Caenorhabditis elegans: one gene and its partner. The protein of the gene in region 2 interacts with the protein of the main gene of each other region in a pairwise test. Each region holds a gene or a part of one and is shown on either strand. Other genes may lie near its edges.

Region 1 (10,840 bases), on a different chromosome or scaffold from region 2:
CCACTTCCATTGATAATAGAATGAACTTTTGGAAAACGTTCAACTTTCTCCATTGTAGTGACCAAAACACATCTCATTGCATGTCTTCCATGACGTTCTTGAGCGTAATATGTGATGCGAACAAGTGTTCCAGTAGGTGGGATGTTTCCACTATTCAGGTCAATTACTTTTGCAAATGCAGTTCGTTTCAATCCCTTCTCGTCAAACTTAGCAAGGAAGATGCTCGGATTTTCGGGTCCATCTACAACTGATTGGATCTTCCAATTGTCCTCCGTTTTCAGCATTCTTGAGTTCTCGTCGACAATTTGATCATATTCTTGTTCTTCGACAAGAGAAGAACCACAGGCGACCCATGGAATATCATCATGTTTTCCGTTGTAAGCAATCTCTAGATGAACAGGTGTGAACGGAAGTGGTTTTGATGCCTGCATATATCGATCAGTACTGTTCCATGGAATGTAGATTCTCCCAACATGATCGTTCCACGCCCAACCAGCTTTTCCATGTGAAACCTTATTCATAATAGCACTTATGGTTATCGTAAGAGGAGTCAACTTTCTAATTGGATAGATCTGCAAAAAAAACAAATTAGTATTAATTTTACTCTAGTTTAAATTACCGAGCCCATATCTTCAGGATTACTTCCCATCAGCTTAGACGTCTTGACATCGGAAACACGACGCCCATCAAAGGTTATAAAACGACCTGGTCTCATCCAACTTTCATACAACGTAGGTGCAAATTCAACATTTTGGCAAGTGGGAGAAGTCACAGATATCACGTAATTGTCAGAGATATCATAGATAACACCCGATTGAGCTTGAACAAATTCAACTGATTGATGATCCGATTGTCGTTGAACGGCGGTTGGAGGCCCCAATTTCTTCATATGTGAGGTATTTTGAATGTCCGTAGGAGTAGGTGGTACGCTTGTCGTCTTTCTAGTATCATCATAAATAGCCCATGCTACAAACTTGCAGCCGTGAGCTTCTTCTTGACGGAAAATGTATATGAGATAAGGTTTGTCGATATATGCTCCTTGTCCGTACCAACACGCTCCATTCGTCGTTCTTGTTGAAAAAGGAACAAAAACTTTCGCAGTTCTTCCATGAATTGAAACATGCCCAAATTTTAATTGTTCATCCAAATAAGAAAGACTTCCATAAACTTGTAAAAGATCAGTTGGTTTAATTGCTGTCAATGCACTATAACGACCATTTTGAAGTTGAGCAGAAAATATTAAATGATCACCATTCTGTAAGTTATTTTCTAAAGTTCTTTGAAGCCACGATTCGAAGAACTTACCTCTGGTTCATAATATTTCTTTTCATAATTCAACCGTAAAGCACTATCAGGTAAGTCAACTAGACGATTATGTTGTTTTTCCAAAATCACACAAGATCTACCGGTTTTCCGAACATGTCCATCTCCTAAAATCTTCGACATCATTCGACTATCGAGTGCAATGCTGAAATAATATTAATGAAATTACGTTTAAATCAATTTGATTTGAGGTTTAAAGCGGAAAGAATAAGAGAAAAAAAGAGAAGAAAATTGGAAAATCGGTGAGGGAGAAGGAAAGTGAGAGCGATGGTTATGCAAGCTGTGATAAAGAGAAAAATGTGAGCTCGACGGATGCACAAAGGACCGTCTGCCAGTCTTATAAGAAAAAATAACATGAGCAGATAAAAAAGTGCAAAGATTGGGGGAGCATTGGGGAACAGTACTCGTCCGCCCATTACGTGAAGCCTCGGTAACGAGCAGCTGAAATTACAGTGACACTCTGATTCTAAGAAATTCAGGAAATATAATATTGCGAAAATGCCACAGAAACAGGTGAATTTCTAAGCTGAAAACCAGTGCTTGTCTCAGTTAGTCACTGCAGCTCACCGAGCATCGGAGATGTTTGCTTCAACACTCTGATAATTATAGGTTTATATCTAAGCGAGCTTTTTGGGGAAACGAAAGACACTGAGCCGACTGAATGGAATGTAAAATGAGAAAATGTAGAATGAGGCGGAGCTGCGAGCTGATATGTGTTGGTGGGGAGAATGACTGTTGCCAAGACAATCAAATCTCCAGAGGGGAAATGAATCTATCATAATCAATGAGGAGCCATGTGATAACAATGTATGAAGATAATAATGAAGAAGTAATGTGAATATGGGAAATGACAATAATAAGATAATAGAAGAAAGATATTCGTCGGGTTTCAAACCGATATAAGGCAATAAAATAATTATTTTCAATAAAATTGAAAACTCAACTTCATTTTGGTAGAAAGGGCGATTTTAGGAACAAAAAAAATCAACAACGAAGGTTAACAGGATAAATGAAAAATGAATAAATCAAAGAAAACAAGATATTAACGATCAAAAAAACCAGGAAAGTCCAGCTGAATGCAGTGGCAACGGAGAAATTGATGACACCTGAAAATTAAATTGGTTGAAAAGGTAATGCAATGTTGAGAAAATTGATAAAAATTAATTTTCAACCGTTGATATCAGAAGTTTTGGATGATAGGCTCTTTTTTTTTTCATAGAAGACACAAAATAAACAAAGGTCATCTATAATTTCTGATGAACGAACATTTTTAGAATTCACACGAGGACTATAACAAAACGATCGATTGTAAAGAAAATAGAAAATGCATTTTTTAATCAGTTCAAAGCCAAGATAATTCAATTTAGAAAAAAAAAAATTAATAATCAAACATGCTGCAGACCACTTTATATCATTGAATAGAAATAGAGAAATATGAAAAACGTCTGCTTATCAATATGTGATATGTGACTACAATTTTCGTCGTAGGCATTTTCCGAGAGCTATGAAACTTTCAGTGAAAAATTGTATGAAAGAAGAAGAGGCTGGAGGCAATAGAATTGATGAATCATAGGAAGACAATCAGAAGAAAGCTTATCATCGAACACGCAAACACACGCAGGCACACACACATATGTGAACGCCATCAATTATTAAATTTTAGCCTAAACTTGATTGAAATAGATCAGTTATTTTCTTTAGCATTCTAGGAAAAAGTAATTTAGTTACGGGTATTCGCCTTTCTGACATGAAACGAGCTATACGAATTATTGAACAAATCCGAAGAGGCTTGGTTTTCGAGAATGACACGTCACAATTACTTTAAATTCTCATCAATGTGTAACACACATCAGACTCAAATCTCAAATTAAAATATTCATTCAGACAGACTAGTCAACACCTTTTCGAATTTGTTGTATTTAAAAAGATTCAAAAATAGAGAAACAGTCTGAAATCACAGTTTTATAGTACACTTTATTGCTCTTATGAAATTATGAACAGCTCGTAGACAATACGAGGTCAGCTGAACTAAAATGGAAAGTAGCAGGTGGCTAGGGCTCCAGTCGTTCATGGGGACGGGGGACACGAATAAAAAATAGGATACTCGCTCTCACACACACACACACGGTGGTGCCAGACCTCGCGCACATATTGCCGGGGTCGAAAAGAGAGGAGCGAAATGACCGATGGAGGAAGAATAAGAAGAAGGCTATCCTCTTTTGATGAATATAGCCCCAAAGTGACCGGGCACACAAAAACACATTCAACCGACTAAAAGGGCAAACGAGAGGAATAGGAAAAGGTTAAACATACGTACCATATGATAAGTAAATTCAGGTTTTTCATTGTTTTTATATGTTGATAGGATATTTATGTTGAAAGTTAATATTCACATTGTTTTCGGTTTCATATGCTAATTATTTTCATGTGTAAAAGAGTGAAGCTCATTTGCGCAGTGGAGAGTGAAGAGTATGTCGCGTGATAAATATGACATGGCACGATATCAGAATGAGATGTCTGCATTACATTCAACTCACTTTTTTTAAGCGATAAGCTTAGTCGACTTGATTGTAGATGCACGAATTCCGCTCGTTTCTCCAGAATATTTCTGCATTTCGCGACGAACGTTTCCAATCTGAGACTTGACGCGCTTCTCGATGGCGTGGACCTTGCGACGATTTTTAGTCTGAAATTAGAAATTATTGAACTGGGAGACTTCAAAAAAAAAAACACACAACGCAGCTAATTGGGAGTTGCAGTAAAAATGAGCATAGTATACGTAACCAAGGATGAAACTCTCAAGTGTCGTCGCCTAGACGTTGAATTGTCTATGTCACAGTGAGTCTATTTTATTTCTTTCAAGAAAAATTAAGATTAAACAAAATCGTATTACTTATCTGTCTGAATAAGTCATGGTTATATGCTTCATTTGTGCTCGGTTTTCTTTTTGAGTTAAAATATGCTTCAGATAATTCATTACACTACGCTTTTTAAAAAACTTTTTTTGAATTCAGTAGCAAGCAGGTGTGATACTGAATTAATTATTTTCTTATCACAACTCTCGAAAAAGAATCTTAAAAAAATAGAAACCAAATAAGCAAGTTGAGATTTCGGCAGCCAATTACTCGCTGTGGTGGGGAGCATAGACGCCGTCTCGACGTATTGGATTTTTGGGTTGGAGCAAAAAATAGAGAGTTATGTAGTGTATTCATATTTTGATCTCACATGAAACTCGGCTTTGTGAGACTTTTTTGTCAAACAAGAATTGTTATTTTTCAAATATATTCATGTATTCGTGAAAGCATTGTAACAACATTTTCATGCACAAGAAATGTCGACCCTACTCATCGAATTATTTTTCATACACTAATTGTTTATGATACAAATATTTTTGGTATTAAAAATAAGATAAAAAATCGAAAATAAAGTTACCTTGCTGGTCTTGGCCTTCTTTTTCCCACGTCGTTCTGCGTATTCACGGTTTTTGGCAACTTTGTCAGAGGCCTTTCTTTTTTCATCTGCATCCATTGGTGTGAAGTGTGGATGAATTGATGTGTTATCAGAAGATGTGATTGTTGAAAGATTCTGAAAAAAGTAAATCCAGATCTTAATCCAATTCAGCTATGTTTCCTGATTTTTATTGACAAAAGAATGTACAATTTTTTTAAATTTTACAAACTTTAAAAATCTTTAAAATATACGGCAAACAAAAAATGTATTTAAATTCGAATAATGTTTTCCCTAAACTTACATTGTTCATAATTGCTCCAAAATTCTTCTTTGTAAGTTGAACATCTCCAACCTTCGAAATCAATTCTTCCATATTTTCTGGCTCCGACTCCGCCCATTTCTTGAGCTCATCCAGATGATCCGAATTCGAATGCAAAAAATCTTCACACTCGGTGATTTTCTGAATTTAAAAGTTTGTATTTGAAATTTAAATCAATCGGAATACCTTTTCAAGTCGTTTCAGCGACTCCACTACAGGATGGATGTCAACAAGTGGATCGTCGAGTTTTTCATTGGAAAACTGTTTGGCTCTGAGATTCAACAGGAATGCTGTGTTCATGAGGTATCTGAAAGATAAATCATAAAAATGGAAATTTAGGAAAAGAAAACATACGATGCATATGTCTGGGCAACGTAGACTAACTGCGATCGCAATGCGCATTTTGGAATCTGCTTGATTACATTTTCAAGAGGCTTCACGACGAGATCGAAGATGCGTTTCTGAAAAGTATAAAAAATTAAAATTAAACCGAAAAAAGGGGAAAATTGAACTGTTAGAATGGTGATGAAAAGAAACAAGTGAAAAGGAAGAAGAGAAAGATAACAACAAGAGAAAATGTTATCAGGTGAAAAGGAAACTGGTCACGAGCTCTCCGGAAACAGCTGTATAACAATTCTTAGCCGCTAATTAGAATTGAAAGTAGCAATATATAATTGAAAAACAGAAAAAGCTGGCGGTCGCTGCCGATATATGTCCAACATCGTTTGGTGTGAATTACAAACCGACCAGGTGAACAGAAACGAGGAAAACAAGACAAGTTATGAGAATAATTAGAATGTGATGTTTGAGGATGAGAACATACGAAACTAACTCGAGCAGTTCAGGCATCGAATTCTTCAGACACCAGAAGGGCACTTTGCTTTCGCTTTTTAATGTTCACACATAACGGCGTCTGATGTTGGATGATTTAAATCGTTTCAATTGTGTGTTTTGTCCGTTGAGAATCATCGTTTAAAGCGAATCGTCCAGCATCCTTAGGCTATGATGGCAACCCGTTTTTGACGTAATCAGAGACGATTGCGCGATTTGAGACCGCTTATCTACTAGCCATCGGTGGTGTTTAGTTGAAAGAATGAAGAGAACAGATGAAGTGAAAACGGGAAGATACTGAAAAAGAGAGAACACGAAAAATTAACCTTGGAAACGATACGAATCAGCATTTGATGTTCACAAGTGATAGCTTCAAAATTTAATAAACTTTCGAGAATTGGCATTAGGAAGAAATAGGAAATTATCACAAGAGGAAGAAGCTGCAACTGATACCGGGAAAAAAGTGAAGAGACATTTTAAAAAATTAGAACTTACTCTTGCTTCAAATTGTTCCAGAGTTTTCACGATTTTTTTGTTCTTTGTCCTTGCATTCTCCTCATTGAATTCTAAAACTGTTTCCACCTAAAACTTTTCATTATTTTAATTATTCTTTCAATTCGTTTACCTCGACAGTTTCTTCTTTTTCTTCCTCATCTTCATCGTCGTCGTCAAATAAATCAGCAATGGCAGCTGTCGATTTGTCGATTTGTTTTTGACGAGTCAACGCATCTTCCTCTTCGAGTTGAGCATCTTCCATTTCTTCTTCACGCATTCCGCCCCAATCTTTATCCACGAATCCAGTTCCATAGAAATCTTTCCTCTTTTTACCCCATTTGTTGTCCGTGATATCTTAAATAAATTACGTTAATCAGGTAATTCAGAAAGAAAACTACCATTAACATCGTCATCATCAAAGTCGGATCCATCGTCTTCACTGCTATCCGATGCTTCTGCTTCAACGTTTAACACCTCTTCTGGACGATTGAATGTTTTTCTTTTGTGAATAGCACCCTTTTCGACTTTTCTGTCTTTGTTATGAAAAGTATTGATTTCATCAATGAGATCATCATTTTCGTCTTCGTATGAGATATGAGCAGATCTGAAAATATATTTAATGATTATTTATAAATTGTGAAAAACATTCAACTTACGCTTTCCCCTTCCTTGATGACATAGTTCTAGTATCTGAAATCCAAAAATTAGCAATTTATAGCATTTTCAACAGAGAAACGGATTGCACCGACCGAAAATAAACCAAATTCTGATTTTCAAATCAATGAATAACTCTAATAAAGTTAATTATGCTTTAATCGTGTGATAAACTTCGATAAATTAATTTTTAAATGAATAGAACGAACTTTTACAAGATAAATTATTCAAAAATTGAATTTTCGAGTTGAATTTGAGAAAAGACGGGGGAAAATTATTAGCGGCAGGGCTTTGTGGGCGGGGTTTCTGATTGCAAACTACCCGCGCACTTTATTATTGTTCTATACACCCATTTAATGCTCACCTTTTTTTGTTTTGAATAGAACGAATATCACTTTTTTCTTGAATATGTCGAATTTTATTGACGAATTTGTATTTCTTGGTTATAAAACTTATGAACGATTAGTTCAGTTGATCCCATTATTCTCGGAAAAACCTGACACATTTCGAAAATACTTATTTCGAATACTTACAGAAAACGTTTTTCTGGTTTTAAAAACTAACTCATTTATATGTTTTCTTTTTCAGAATGACTGAATACGACAAGTTTGCCGAGCAGCTCCGTCATCCGGATAACCCAATCGTTTTTCTAGAAGTTACCGCCGGTGGTGCACCAATCGGAACTATTGTTGTAAGTTGACGACCATTCCAGTTTTAATTTGCTATATATTTCATAATTTTTCAGATCGAGTTATTTGCTGATGTAACACCGAGAACTGCTGAAAACTTTCGTCAGTTCTGTACAGGAGAATACAAAAAAGATGGTGTCCCAAACGGATACAAAAACTGCACATTTCATCGTGTGATCAAGGACTTTATGATTCAGGGTGGCGACTTCTGCAACGTAAGTTTAACAATTTTAAATTTTAAAGTTATATCATTTTTTCAGGGCGATGGAACCGGTTTGATGAGCATCTATGGTTCAAAGTTCCGTGACGAGAATTTCGAGCTGAAGCACATAGGACCAGGAATGCTTTCGATGGCTAACGCTGGCTCTGACACAAATGGTTGTCAGTTTTTTATCACTTGCGCAAAAACCGATTTCCTTGACAACAAACATGTAGTTTTTGGTAATTTTTTTTTATTTCAAATTCACGGATAAGTTGATTTCTGTAGTACAAAGAAAGAAGAATACGGATTGTGATTGTGATAAATGTCTCCAACGTCATTAGTTCTCCATCCCAATCCCCTGAAAGCAGTGTTTTAAAAAGAAAATCGCAAATTTTAATGATACCCACTGATAATGTTGGTGATACATTGATGGTGCCATAGTTGTTGTTTTATACTGATTATATGGGTTGAACATGCCAGCGTTAGCATACAATAAAGGAAGTAATGTTTGCAATGAAACGCATTTTAAAAAGAAAAAAATTAGAACGAGAATGCGTGTCATCGTCTAGCTAAAACAACTAGATTTCCTTATATCCTTATCACCTTTTATACGAGATAAAGCTAGTTAATGACGCCATTGATATGTTTGATATTTCTGACCGATCGTTTATTGCAGGACGAGTACTCGATGGAATGCTGACGGTTCGGAAAATCGAAAATGTTCCAACTGGAGCCAATAACAAGCCGAAACTTCCGATTGTTGTTGTTCAATGTGGCCAACTCTAATTTTCACTGTATTGTTATTTTGATCTCGTTTTGTTATATTCACAATAAACTATTAATTACTTCTGATTATATGGGTTGAAAAATGAAATGAAAAGACAGTATAAGTGACTGTTAGTATATCTGGTTCAGTTTTAAAAGCGAAGTAAAGAAAATAAACCTTCAAAATCGAATACTTTCAGAATAAATGCTCGAAACCAACGTGGATCAGAAGTCGTTCAAATTCAAGATCGTGTTGCTCGGCGAAGGATGTGTTGGTAAATCATCACTTGTGCTTCGATTCGTTGAAAATAAATTCAGCTGCAAACACCTGTCGACGATTCAGGTAATAATTTAGAAAAAGGTTGCGATAGATAATCCAAAAAAATATTTCTGGGTTTTTCTTCATTCAGTTATCAAGATTTTGATATGCATATAAAATATTTTCCAATTGTTCTTCATATTGCAGGCAAGCTTCCAAAACAAAACTGTGAATGTAGAAGACTGCCAAGCTGACCTACACATCTGGGATACCGCTGGACAGGAGAAATACCACGCACTCGGTCCAATCTACTATCGAGGAAGCAATGGCGTGCTACTGGTTTTCGATATCACTGATAGAAAGTCATTTGAAAAGGTATCAAAATATTTTAAAGAGCACCACTGAAATCATTTTTTTAAGGTTAAGAACTGGGTTCTCGAAATAAAAACATGCCTGGGAAATACTGCAGAGATTCTGATAGTCGGGAACAAGATTGATCTTGAAGAAGAACGGCAGGTCACTCGACAGGATGCGGAAGCATACGCAGAATCAGAAGGGGCATTGTATATGGAGACTTCTGCTCAGGACAATGTTGGAATCTCTGATGCTTTTGAATCTTTAACTGCGAGTAAGTTGGCCTAAACGTTTTGCATGGCTTGGGTATTGCCTAAATAAAAAATACCAAAAATTTCAGAAATGATCGAACATTCGCGTACTCGTTCGACAGAACCACCATCTACGAATCGATCCATCCGATTAATTGACAACGACGAAGCAGAAAGGAGTAAAAAGTGCTGTCGCTGATTAAAAGAGCTTAATGAATGCTTGAACACTTCCCCCCTTATACCGGTCACCTGTATTATTTTGTTCATTTTTCCCGATTCTTTTCCTCTACGTCACTTTCCTAGTCGCACTCCTGTCAAACTTTACGCACAATTCATACAATAATAAAATCATATTTCTATCTTAATGGTTCAATTTTTTTTTTTTAATTTTTTTTTTTAATCACTACTGTAGCGCCTGTCGATTTACGAGCTCGAATTTCGAAATGAATTTTTTTAACGTATAGTGACTGCTATACTCCATTTTCCTTCGATTCTTCATATTATTTTCTCATTTTTTGCCTATTTTAATATTCTACGATTCATTTCGAGAATCGATCCCGTAAATCGACACAGGTGCTACCGTAGGCATTTAAAGAATTACTGTAGGTTTCGCTACGTGATATTTTGGGCGTCAAATATGTTGCACAATACGCGTTCTCAGAATTTAGTGCTACTGCGGTAGCTACCGTAATACTGTAGAGATCTAGCGTGATCACCATCAGAATACACAATATTTTTAAAAATAAAAGATCACAGAACAGTGAGCTGATGATAGAAAAAAAATGGATATGTAATACTTGATCATTTATTTTTTCCCTTTAAACTTTCACGCAAATGTTGGCAGGTGTTATTATGTTGAAGCTTGCTCCATTTTCAGTCTCAAAATTTTCAACTTCCTATTCCTGGAAAGATTACTTTCGAGACATTGTTCTGAATAATGTATAATTCCACAACTATATCATTCAAATGCGGTAGCAACTACAATTTGATATCTCAGCTTTTAATATATTTTGTGAATGCCTCCTATCTTGGAGTTGGAGTTTTCCTACATATCTTGATATTAAGAGTTTTATTATTCAAAGAAAGGCAGATATTCCGCAATAACTCGTTTTTTCAAATATATGTGATGGATTCGATTGCAGTGAGTTTCTGAAAGCAGAAGCACGAGTTAATCCATATCTTTCCAGAGCACATTTCTTCTTCTAACTGATATGTTTTTCGTTCGATTATTCATGTATGTACCTCCCC
Region 2 (11,548 bases):
AATTTCTGCACAACACAGGGTCACCCACACCGACTTCTCATTAAAATGGACAGGTTGGTTCCAAAAAGTAGGTACACTTCCTCTCTGTCTCTCTGAGAAAATAGTGGGTTATAATAGTACGTGGGGGGTCCTACTCACAATGAATCATAATTCTCAAGGTTGCTCATAAAAGAAGATAGTCAGGGGGGATGTCAAGGGAAAATTGGGGAGTGGATGGAAGGTAAGGGATCGAGAAGAAGAGGAAAAGTACAGTCTTTGAGGTGAGTTGTTGTAAATATTGAGAACGTTGAGAAGGGTAAATCAATTGGGTAAACACTGGAAGTGGTTGGTGTAGTGGTGAGAGTTGTTCTATCCAAAATCACTGGTTTTTGGTTTGTTTTTTCCTTAAAATCTGAATATATTTGAATATTACCATAATTTCAAGGTGCTCTTTGACTGAACCCTTCGTGGATCCACGTGACTGTCCGAGAAATCCGGCGAACCAGTTGAGCACCCCGCGTACCGTGCTCCGGTGCTCACCAGTACTGCGTCTCTCTCTCTCTCTCTCTGTGCTCAAAAACCCCCCGGCCCTCTCTCCCCTTTTGCAAATAGGCAGTGTATATTGAGGAAACAATAGGGGGCAAACTTTGCCTCTCCTTTCACTGTCCCATACACACACACACACACACACACATACTCTAATTCCTTCCATCATATCTGAGAAAGAGTTTTCGAGTTTTGGGGACCAAATTATTTAGGATTTAAGTTAACGATAGACTAGAGGGCCTGCGGGCCCGCCAGCGGTTGCTCCGGTAGTCGGCTTGGTGTCAGAGTGTCTCATTTTCGGTTTAATCCGCGTAGATCTACAAAAAATGCGGGAGTTGATACACAGAGTTCACAACTGATTTCACATGGTTAATAACGTGTTGACGCCACATTTTTTGGGCAACAAAAAATTCCCGCATTTTTTGTAGATCAAGCCGTAATGGGACAGTCTGGTACTACGTGCTACTATGCTAGTATGCAGCGGCATGAATTTTGCAAAATTAAGAATCCTTGCGGTATGCTCATGGTGTTCTGGCCTTGGTACAACAGCTAGATGAGTGCAAACGCGCTCTACCGAACGAACCCAAATTTGACCGGTTAGGAAATTTTCAATCAAAAAATTTCTTAATAGAAAAGATCGAGAATTTTTTTGCGATCATTTTTCATATGCATCGCAAAATCAAATTTGGGGTTAGTTTTCGAGATAGCAGCCAATATAGTTTTCAGACTGAGTATCATGAACCAATCCATCTAGTTTCTGTGCTACCGTGCCGTCCTCATTGAATTTTTTTCGCGCTCCATTGACAATCGCTCTCCGGACATGGGAAAGTCGTGTACTCCACACGGACAAGTGCATTTAGTTTTACAATCGAGCCGCGACGCGACACGCAACGCGCCGTAAATCTACCCCCAGATATGGCCTGGCCTAGTTCGGCAAAAACTCTTCCATTTCAATTTCTGAGGGAAGCCAGACACATCCGTGAATTTTTGACCATATCCACGTTTTTCTTGTCAAATAACAATAGCATATTCAACAGGACAATTGACAATTGAATTGAGATATGAGAAACAAGAAAAAGTAATTTGACTCCTGACTTCTTCTTCTTCTTTTTCATAGAGTGGATGGTGGATAGTGACATACAAACAGGGCACACAGTTTCGTGTTGACACTCTCTCTCTCTCTGGACAGAACAATATAAGACACGAACATGAAAAGGAAGATGAACAATGTTCCTGCAAAAAAAAGTTGAAGCTTGGAAGAGTTGGAGAAATTTTCACCAAATCAGCAATTGCCGGAAATGAAAATTTCGGGCAAATCGGCAAATTGCCAGGATTGAAAATTTCCATCAAATCGGCAATTGCTGAAAATGAAAAATTTGGGCAAGTTGACAAATCGGCAAATTGCCGGAATTGAAAATTTCCGGAAAATTGGCAAATCGGCAAATTGCCGCAATTGAAAATTTCCGCTAAATTGGCAAATTGCCGGAATTGAAAATTTTCCGGCATATCGGTGAATCGCCAAATTGCCGGAATTGAAAATTTCCGGAAAATTGGCAAATCGGCAAATCGCCGGAATTGAAAATTTCCGCCAAATTGGCAAACTGCCGGAATTGAAAATTTTCCGGCATATCGGCGAATCGCCAAATTGCCGGAATTGAAAATTTCCGGTAAATTGGCGGAGTTGAAAATTTCCAGCCAATTGGCAATTTCCGAAAATTAAAATTTCCGGCAAATCGGCACATTGCCAGAATTGAAAATTTCCGGCAAATTGGCAATTGCCGAAAATTAAAATTTCGGGCAAATCGCAAATTGCCCGGAATTAAAAATTGCATTTTGCCGATTTGCCGAAAAAACGACAATTGCAGAAAATTGTGGTTTTGACATTTTTGGAAATTTCAGAATTTCAACATTATTTGTTTTAAGTGGATCCGTCTTTTTAAAAGTCTCTTTAAAAACTTTCGCAAACGGCAAATCGGCAATTTGTCGAAAATGGAAATTTTCGGCAATTTTGCTCGTTTATTACATGTTTAATCCTAAATTTCGGTATATTTTCAGTCGCTGGGAACACAAATTTCATAAAATTTCGCTTTATTTTGTGTTAAAAACTAAATTTTCTCAGAAAAATTCACATTTTAAAGGAAATTCTTCAATTTGAACTTCCCGCTATTTTTATACTGTCTGTTTTATCAACAGGGCGCGTTTGCACTTTTCAACTTCTGGCTTTTTTCGCCTTTTTTAATCCATTTTTTCACATTTATTGATCGAAAATCTTGCGGATAAAGGCTATTTTTTCAAGATTAAATTAATAAAAATTTGAAATTACTTAAATTGAATCCTAAAATCTGTGAAAATCCCAAAATAATACTCTCAAATCGGAGCCAAGCCGTCAATACATAGAAAAAATCCAAAAAACCTTAAAACTGCTGATTTTTCCACTTTTTTCTACAATTTTCCGACACTTTTATAGGTTTTCCATGCCCTAAGTACAAATATGAACGGGATTATTCGTTTTTCTCCCCTCTCTGGCACTCTTGTCGTCTCTCGCCCTCTCACTTACCCCCGCTGTCTCGTTTTCCCATTTCTCGGTGAAATTTTGAACCAATTTTTTGGTTTTTACACTTATTTTGACGATTTTTCCAGTATTTTCGTGTAAAAATTGAGATTTCTCGTGTTTTTAACGTTATTTTATGTGGTTTTAAGTTGTAAAACTTTTTTTTGGGAATTTATCGATTTTTAAGGTAATTCGCTGCAAAAATGACGAAATCAAAGTCAAAAAAGGAGGATTTGATCCCGGAAATCGGGGATTTCACAAAGTTTTTCAAAAGGTTGGCATAATTAATCGAAAAAAATATAGAAAAAAAATTTAAAAAATCAATAAAATGTTGATTTTTCAGTCGATCAAAATTTTCCGACCAAATAACCGATGTTATTTCGAATGTCTACGAATGGTCGACATCACTGGAACCTTCAGAAGACAATCTTCCACTTCCATTTGTTTCGAAAAACGAAGAAGTCGTTTGGAGTTATCTGAAGCATCAGAATAAGCAATTAGATGGAATTAATAAGAAATATAAGGTGCTTATTCGCGGGATTTTGCTCGAAAAATCCTAAAATAATCTTAAATTCCGAAAAAACACAGAAGAAAATCGAAAAAATCGATTTTTAAAGTTCTATTTTTCAATTTTGGCGAAATTCCCTCCAATTCCCTCCAAAATGAAGAACGACCAATCAGCGATTAGCACCGCCCACTTTTGAACCAATAAGAGGAAAGGGGCGGAGTTCGAAGGTGCTGATTGTTCAGTACAAAAAACGGAGGAAAAACGAAAAAAAATCGATTTTTTTTTCGAATTTTGGTTAAATTCCGTTTCCGACCAATCAACGATTCGCTCCGTCCATTTTTGAACCAATCAGATGAAGTGGGCGGAGCTCAAAGACGCTGATTGGTCGTGCAGTCCTTATTTTAAAGGGAATTCAACAAAATTTTAAAAAATCGATTTTTAAAACGTGATTTTTCAATTTTGGTTAAATTCCGTCTTCGACCAATCAGCGATTCGCTCCGCCCACTTTTGAACCAATCAAATGAAGTGGGCGGAGTTTGAAGGCGCTGATTGGTCGGGCAATTCTTATTTTGGAGGGAATTCAAACAAGTTTGAAAAAAATTGCGTTTTTAAATTTCAAACTAAATTTTCGGGATTTTTGAAAAAAATTTCTAAAAATCCCGAAAAAAATGTCCTAAAAAATTTCTAAAAATTCCACAATTTTCAAAAAATCTAGAAATTTTTAGCAATTTCCGAAAAATTTCTAAATTTCCAAAAATATTGAACTTTTTTTGAAAATTTTTGAAAAAAATCGAGTTTTTTTTTCTGAATTTCAGGCTATTTTTTGGAGTTTTTTTTCACTTTTTTTTTCCTCAAAATTGCTTGAAAATGCTCCGAATTTCAGGGATTTCTTTCCGAGTTGATTGGAAAATCGCATATTCGGGTGGCGGCGAAAATTCAGGATTCTGAAGGTTCGGAAGATGGTTCTGATGGCTCCGATGGCGGCTCCGAAGAGGAGCTCGATGATGATGAGGAAGAGCTGGAAGATGAAGAGCTCGAGGATGAAATGATTGACGATGAGGATGAAGCCGATCTTTTTAATTTAAGCGAGAGTGATCTGAAGACGTTGGACGCTGATTTGAAGAAAATGGAAGAAGAAGAAGCCGGAGAAGAGAAAGAGGAGGTGGAAAAAGCCACAGAACAACCGAAAAAATTCAAGAAATCCATTGTGGACGATCAGTTTTTCAATCTTGACGAGATGCACGATTTTTTGCAAAAAACTGAGAGAGCTGGAGGCAAAAAGGCCGCTCAGGATGAGGAAATGATGTTTGAGGATGAAGTATGTACCTGGATGGCTGAAAATCTGCAAAATTTGGATTTTTATGAGCCGAAAAGTGCCAAAAAGTGCCCAAAAACAATTTTAAAAATACACACTTTTTTCCACAAAAAGTGCGCGAAGAAATTGCAAACTCCGCCCCCCTTTTTCCCGGCCAGAATTCGTAATTTCGAAATTAGAGTGCAATCGCGCTCCAACGCCAACACAACACAAGTATTGCCGGAATTGTTAAATTTTCGGCAAATTGGTAAATTGCCGGAATCGATAATTTCCGGCAAATCGGCAAATTGCCGGAATCGATAATTTCCGGCAAATCGGCATAATTGGAAATTTCCAGCAAATTGGCAATTGCCGAAAATGAAAATTTTGGCCAAATCGGCAAATTGCCAGAATTGGAAAGTTCCGGCAAATTGTCAAGTTGCCGGAATTGTTAAATATCCGGCAAACCGGTAAATTGCCGGAATTGAAATTTCCAGCAAATCGACAAATTGCCGGAATTTTAAAATTTCCGGCAAATTGGCAACTTGCCGGAATTGAAAATTTCCAGCAAATCGGCATATTGCCTGATTTGTGAAATTTCCGCCAATTTGCCGAAAATGAAAATTTTGGGCAAATCGGCAAATTGCCAGAATTGAAAAGTTCCGGCAAATTGTCAAATTGCCGGAATTGTTAAATATCCGGCAAACCGGTAAATTGCCGGAATTGAAATTTCCAGCAAATCGGCAAATTGCCGGAATTGCAAAATGTCCGGTAAATCGTAAATTGCCAGAATTGAAAAGTTCCGGCATATCGACAAATCGCCGGAATTGTTAAATATCCGGCAAACCGGTAAATTGGCGGAATTGTGAAATTTCCGCCAATTTGCCGAAAATGAAAATTTTGGGCAAATCGGCAAATTGCCAGAATTGAAAAGTTCCGGCAAATCGGCAAATTGTGGTTTTGCACAATTTTTTGTTGTTGGAAACTTCATATTTTCTTGTTCCAAACGAGACCCAATAGGCCAATTAGCGATGGAGCGCGATTGCACCTCAGTTTTCAAAAACCGCCTCGCTGCCATAATATATTAATCTCGATGAAAATTCCCTAAGAAAATGTGTGTGTGTGTGTGTTTTTTTCAAAATTTCAATTAAAAAAAAAAAAAAATAATAATTTCAGGATAGCTGGGACGGAAAAACCGACTACACGTATGAGGACTTTTTTGGATCTCGTGAGACAGTTGCTGAAACCGAAAAAATGAATGGAGAGAAGAAAAAAATTGAAAAAGATAAGAAACGGAAGGCTGGAGATAAAGCTGATTTATCACTTGATGATGGGTTTGTAGTTTGTAGTTTGGAGGAATTGGAGAAAAAAACGGAAAACCACAGAAAAAAACGAGAAAATCCCCCAACCAATCAGCGTCTTCAACTCCGCCCACTCCACCTGATTGGTTGGAAAGTGGGCGGAGCGAATCGCTGATTGGTCGCGGTCTCATTTTGAAAAAAATTCGGCCAAAATATTGAAAATCTGCGTTTTTTAGTTTTCAAAAAATGTAGAAATTCAGCAATTTCCGAAAATATTTAGAAATTTCTAAATTTTTGGAAATTTGAAATTTTTTTTTCACTTTTTTTTCGCCAAAATTGATGGATTTTTCATTATTTTGCGATTTTTTTTTTCGTTTTTCTCCAAAAATACTGTAAAAATGTAGAAAATCACTAAATTTATCCGAAAAATCACGTTTATTTCAGCTGAAAAAATCAAAAAATATTTTTCGAATTTTCTAGCTGAAATAAATGTAATTTTCCGGATAAATTTAGTGATTTTCTACAATTTGACACTATTTTTCAATGAAAATCGTTGGAAGCACATGGTGCAACATGACAAAATTGTAAAATTGCCGAAAATAAGTGAAAAAAATTTAAAAATCCCAATTTTCAATCTTTTTTCTAGGAACGCCGAAAAAATTGCGAAAAAAGTTGCAAAACGCGATGTTTTGAATTCCCTCCAAATGAGAACTCATCGACCAATCAGCGACTCGCTCCGCCCATCTCTGGACCAATCAGACGAAGTGGGCGGAGTTCGACGACACTGATTGGCCGGGGAGTTTTCATTTTGGGGGAATCCAAACAAAAGTGAAAAAATCGATTTTTAAAAACGTGATTTTTCCAATTTTGATCAAATTCCGTCTGCGACCAATCAGCGATTTGTTCCGCCCTTTTTTGCACCAATCAGGGTGTGTGGGAGGAGTTTGAAGGAGCTGATTGGTCGAAATGCTAATTTTGCGAATTTTTCGCAAAACTCGGAAAAATCCAACTTTCTGAAACTACGACCAATCAGCGATTTGCTCCGCCCACTTTTGCACCAATCAGGGTGTGTGGGCGGAGTTTGAAGGCGCTGATTGGTCGGGGAGTTTTCATTTTGGGGGGAATTTGAAATTTTAAAATCCAAATTTAAAAAATCGCCTTTTTTGTGATTTTTCCGAATTTAGGACTATTTTTTAATAAATTTTTAAAGCGAAAAATTCAATTCAAAAATGTTCTTCCAGAAAGAACAAAAAACGCGTTCGTTTCGCAATGGATGAGGAACCTGAAGAAGAAGAAGTTGAAGACGAGGAGCAAGAAGACATTAATGATGAAGAAGAGCCCCCAGAGGATGAGCCAGTGCTCCTCGGAGCCGACCTCGAAGAGCCGAAGGAAGAATCGGCGTTTGCCAAGCGTCAGTCCAAGATGAAGGAACGAATCGCTAAGCTTGAGGAGGAGAATTTGGCTCCAAAATCGTGGGAGCTCTCCGGAGAGGTTGCCGCCGATCAGAGAGATCAGAATACCCTGCTGGAGAAGCATGTGGATTTTGATCATGGAGCAAAACGTGCTCCAGAGGTTACCGAAGAGTTTACAGGTACGCTGATGATGGCTGGAAATTGGAAATTTTAGAAGAAAAACTATGGGAAAAGCGAAAAAAATCGGGAAAATCTCACTTTTTGAAACTGCGACCAATCAGCGATTAGCTCAGCCCATTTTTGGACCAATCAGATGGAGTGGGCGGAGTTTGAAGGTGATGATTGGTCGGGGAGTTGTCATTTTGCGATTTTTTATCAAAAAAAATCGGGAAAATCCAACTTTTGAAACTGCGACCAATCAGCGATTAGCTCCGCCCATTTTTGGACCAATCAGATGGAGTGGGCGGAGTTTGAAGGTGCTGATTGGTCGGGGAGTTGTCATTTTGCGATTTTTTATCAAAAAAATCGAAAAAATCCAACTTTTGAAACTGCGACCAATCAGCGATTTGCTCCGCCCATTTTTGGCCCAATCAGATGGAGTGGGCGGAGTTTGAAGGTGCTGATTGGTCGGGGAGTTCGAAAATTGAAAAATCACGATTTTTTTCTTTTCAAAGTTTTGAATAAAACAATTTTTTCGGCAGGAAATTAGTTTTTTGAAAAGTTGCAAAAATTTTATAAACAAATTTATTAAAATTGTATTAAAATTAACACAGAAAAAGAGGCGGAGCCTAATTTCGCAACCTTGCCGCACGGTTTTTCCTCTTTCTTTTTGTTGGTTTTTTTCCAATGAAGTTTCGATTTTACTTGTTTTATTTTCTTTCGAAAAACGAAAATAAAACAATTAAATTCAAAAATTGATTTAAAAAATGAAAACCGTGCCACAGGGTTGCGAAATTAGGCTCCGCCTATTTTCTGTGCGACAATGCTGCTTTTTGTAAAATTTACGAATGGAAATCGCCAAATTTCAACCATAAAATAGGCAAAGAGAGCCTCCGTAACACGGAAAAATTGGCGAAATTTGAGATTTGAAACCGTCGCACAGAAAAAGAGGCGGAGCCTAATTTCGCAACCTTGCCGCACGGTTTTTCCTCCTTTTTTGACCGGTGTTAATTTTAATATCCTCATAATAGCATTTTCATTCGAAAAAGAAAATAACATAATTAAATTCAAAAATTGATTTAAAAAAATTAAAACCGTGCCGCAGGGTTGCAAAATTAGGGGCTTCGCCTATTTTTCTGTGCGATGCTGATTCACGACGGATTGCTCGTAAAATTTCAACCATAAAATATGCAAAAAATAGTATTTTTTTCGCAAATTTCGAGGCTTTAGCTTAAAAATGCCGTTTTTTTTTTCAAATTTTAAGACGAAAACTGCCTCTTTTTCTGTGCGATGCGCAAAATTTTATTTTTTTCTAAATTTCAAATATAAAATAGGCAAAAAATAGCTGATATGACATGGAAAAATTGGAAATTTTCGAGATTTTAGCTTAAAAATTCCGTTTTTTTTTTTTTTTTTTTAATTTCAGCCATAAAATAGGCAAAAATAGAGTTTTTTTCCAGACCGCCTCGAGTCACTTATCAAGCAACGAATTCGTGATAAAGCCTGGGATGATGTGATTCGAGTGAAAAAAGTCGAAGCGAAAGGCGCCAAATTCGAAACTGAAGCCATCGAGAATCAAATGAATCAGAAAACTTCCTTGGCTGAGGTTTATGAGAAGGAATATCAAAATTCGACTGGAAATTCTGCAGATGGAGCAGCAGGAGCCACGAAGCCGAATGAAGCTCATGAAGCTATAAAATCGAAGATGGGAGATCTCTTCCGGCTAATTGATGCGCTAACTCATTTCGAGTATAAACCGGATCAAGCTCGCGAGGAGGTGAAAGTGGTCTCAAATATGGCTGCTCTACGTGTGGAAGAAGTCGGAATTACAGCTTCAACGGAGGCTCAGCTTATGGCTCCAGAGGAGATTTCGAAGAAGATGAAGGCGATTGAAAAGAGCAAGGATGAGAGAGACGCGACTGATAAGGCACGAGAACGTCGGCAGAAGAAGGCTAAGCAGAGGTCGATGCTGGAAAAGTTTGGCGAGGAGCGAGTTTTCGGAGAGCAGAAGGCGGTGAAGCTGGCCAAGAAGGAGAGGAAGGCTGGGAAGGAGAAGGGCGGCGGGGTGGATAAGATTAAGAGCTCGAACTTCTTTGCGAAGCTTCAGGAGACGGTGGCTGCTGAGAAGAAGGATGGAGCGGTGACGAAGAAGAAGAAGAAGATTGTGAAGAGATTGAAGAGTGATAAGAATTCGGCTGCTATTAAGCTTTAGTAATCGATTATTTTGTTTTTTTTTTTGTTTTTTGTTTTTATTTTTCTATTTTTCTATTACTGAAACACAAAATTCAAAATTGTGCATCATGTTTGACGCGCAAAATATCTCGTAGCGGCGAAATGACTACTGTAGTGTCGATTTACGGGATCTCGATTTTCGAAAATGAATTTATTTTATATGCAAAAAAAATACTATTAAAAGTATAGTTATCGATTCTTGAATTTTGCAAAAAAAAAAATTATTCTGTCGCACAGAATGTAGGGCGGAGCGTAGCTGCCGCACGGGGTTTGTCTCCGCCCCTTTTCCACTGTTTTTTTTCTCGAAGTTTCTAGTCTTTTTCTTTCTTTTTTTTTTGGATAAAGAGAAAAATAAAATAATAGTAAAATCGAAACTTTATTGAAAAAATCAACAAAAAAAAACAGTGGACGCTCCGCCCTACTTTCTGTGCGACAGAATAATTTTTTTTTTTTGCAAAATTCAAGGATCGATAACTATACTTTTAATAGTATTTTTTGCATATAAAATAAATTCATTTCGAAAATCGAGATCCCGTAAATCGACACCACAGTAGTCATTTCGCCGCTACGAGATATTTTGCGCGTCAAATATGTTGTGCGATACGCATTCTCAAAATTTTGTGTTCCCCGTAATATTTTTTCATTGTTACACCGCGTTATTCTTGTTGTTTTTTTTTTTTTTTAATTTTTACTTTGTTTTTTTGAAACGTTTTTTCCTTTAAAAAATTATAATTCTCCATGCTTTTTGTTGTTGTTTTCTATTGAAATATTCGGTACAGATTTACCGATTTTTATATCTTTGGTTTTTTTAATTTTAAATGTGTTTTTTTTTTCAACTCTTGGCGCAAATTTTCTGGCTTTTGCGTCTCGAAACGACATATTTTTATAAAATAAAAATTATAGTACTCTTTAAAGGTGCAAAATTTGTCGCTTCGAGACACCGGGTACCGCGCGTGGTGTGTTAGGCTGCCCCATTACGGTTTGATCTACAAAAACTGCGCGGGTAATTTTTGCCCAGAAAAATGTGACGTCAGCGCGCGCTCTTAACTATGCGAAATTAGTTGAGAACTCTGCCGCATTTTTTGTAGATCTATGGTAGATCAAATTCGGCGTAAAATCCCCTAATTTCCCCAATTTTACAGGGTTTTAATCGTCGCCAATTTTCTCCACTGAATCTCTGAATCTCTGTCTCATTTTTCGAATATTTCTCACACACCCACCACCCATCTAAACGTACAGAAACCAACAAAAAAAAACAGTGATTAGAAAAATGCAAAATTTCGGTGGTCCCGGAGGTCCGATGTATGGAGGAGCTGGTGGTGGTGGTGGAGGACCACCACGGGGTCCACCACAGCAACCGCCTCAACCACAGGGTGGTGGTGTTGCAGTGCCGTTTCCGATTCCGCAGGGTATCACTCAGGCTCATTATCATCAGTATAAGGTATATAGAAAAACTTTTAAAAAATCCGGCGAAAAAATAAAATTCCCACCAAAAAGAACTGCGACCAATCAGCGATTCGCTCCGCCCACTTTGCAACCAATCAGATGGAGTGGGCGGAGTTTGAA

What was found.
Region 1: the proteins of Y75B8A.7 (region 2) and T01B7.5 interact in a two-hybrid assay, tested with the Caenorhabditis elegans proteins (one large-scale study listed by BioGRID).

What each region holds. Positions count from the first base shown.
Region 1 is NC_003280.10:8,713,102-8,723,941, reverse strand, and holds T01B7.5 (Sas10 C-terminal domain-containing protein), read right to left. Parts: upstream 7,109-10,840; 5' UTR 7,098-7,108; coding exon 7,075-7,097; intron 7,023-7,074; coding exon 6,817-7,022; intron 6,773-6,816; coding exon 6,549-6,772; exon of another isoform or gene 6,506-6,548; coding exon 6,419-6,505; intron 5,554-6,418; coding exon 5,447-5,553; intron 5,400-5,446; coding exon 5,279-5,399; intron 5,234-5,278; coding exon 5,075-5,233; intron 4,909-5,074; coding exon 4,756-4,908; intron 4,010-4,755; coding exon 3,866-4,009; 3' UTR 3,861-3,865; intron 2,430-3,860; 3' UTR 2,257-2,429; downstream 1-2,256. Other genes in the region: trcs-2 (TRansport of membrane to Cell Surface), read right to left, coding at 1-572, 620-1,255, 1,306-1,446; T01B7.13 (uncharacterized protein), read right to left, coding at 8,225-8,321, 8,371-8,525; cyn-11 (Peptidyl-prolyl cis-trans isomerase 11), read left to right, coding at 7,662-7,763, 7,818-7,976, 8,022-8,202, 8,640-8,749; Ras-related protein Rab-21, read left to right, coding at 8,934-9,071, 9,195-9,362, 9,408-9,615, 9,682-9,791.
Region 2 is NC_003281.10:12,149,636-12,161,183, forward strand, and holds Y75B8A.7 (U3 small nucleolar ribonucleoprotein MPP10), read left to right. Parts: upstream 1-3,263; 5' UTR 3,264-3,279; coding exon 3,280-3,350; intron 3,351-3,419; coding exon 3,420-3,600; intron 3,601-4,467; coding exon 4,468-4,902; intron 4,903-6,054; coding exon 6,055-6,212; intron 6,213-7,420; coding exon 7,421-7,770; intron 7,771-9,210; coding exon 9,211-9,962; 3' UTR 9,963-10,620; downstream 10,621-11,548. Other genes in the region: Y75B8A.8 (ARC105/Med15 mediator subunit C-terminal domain-containing protein), read left to right, coding at 11,253-11,423.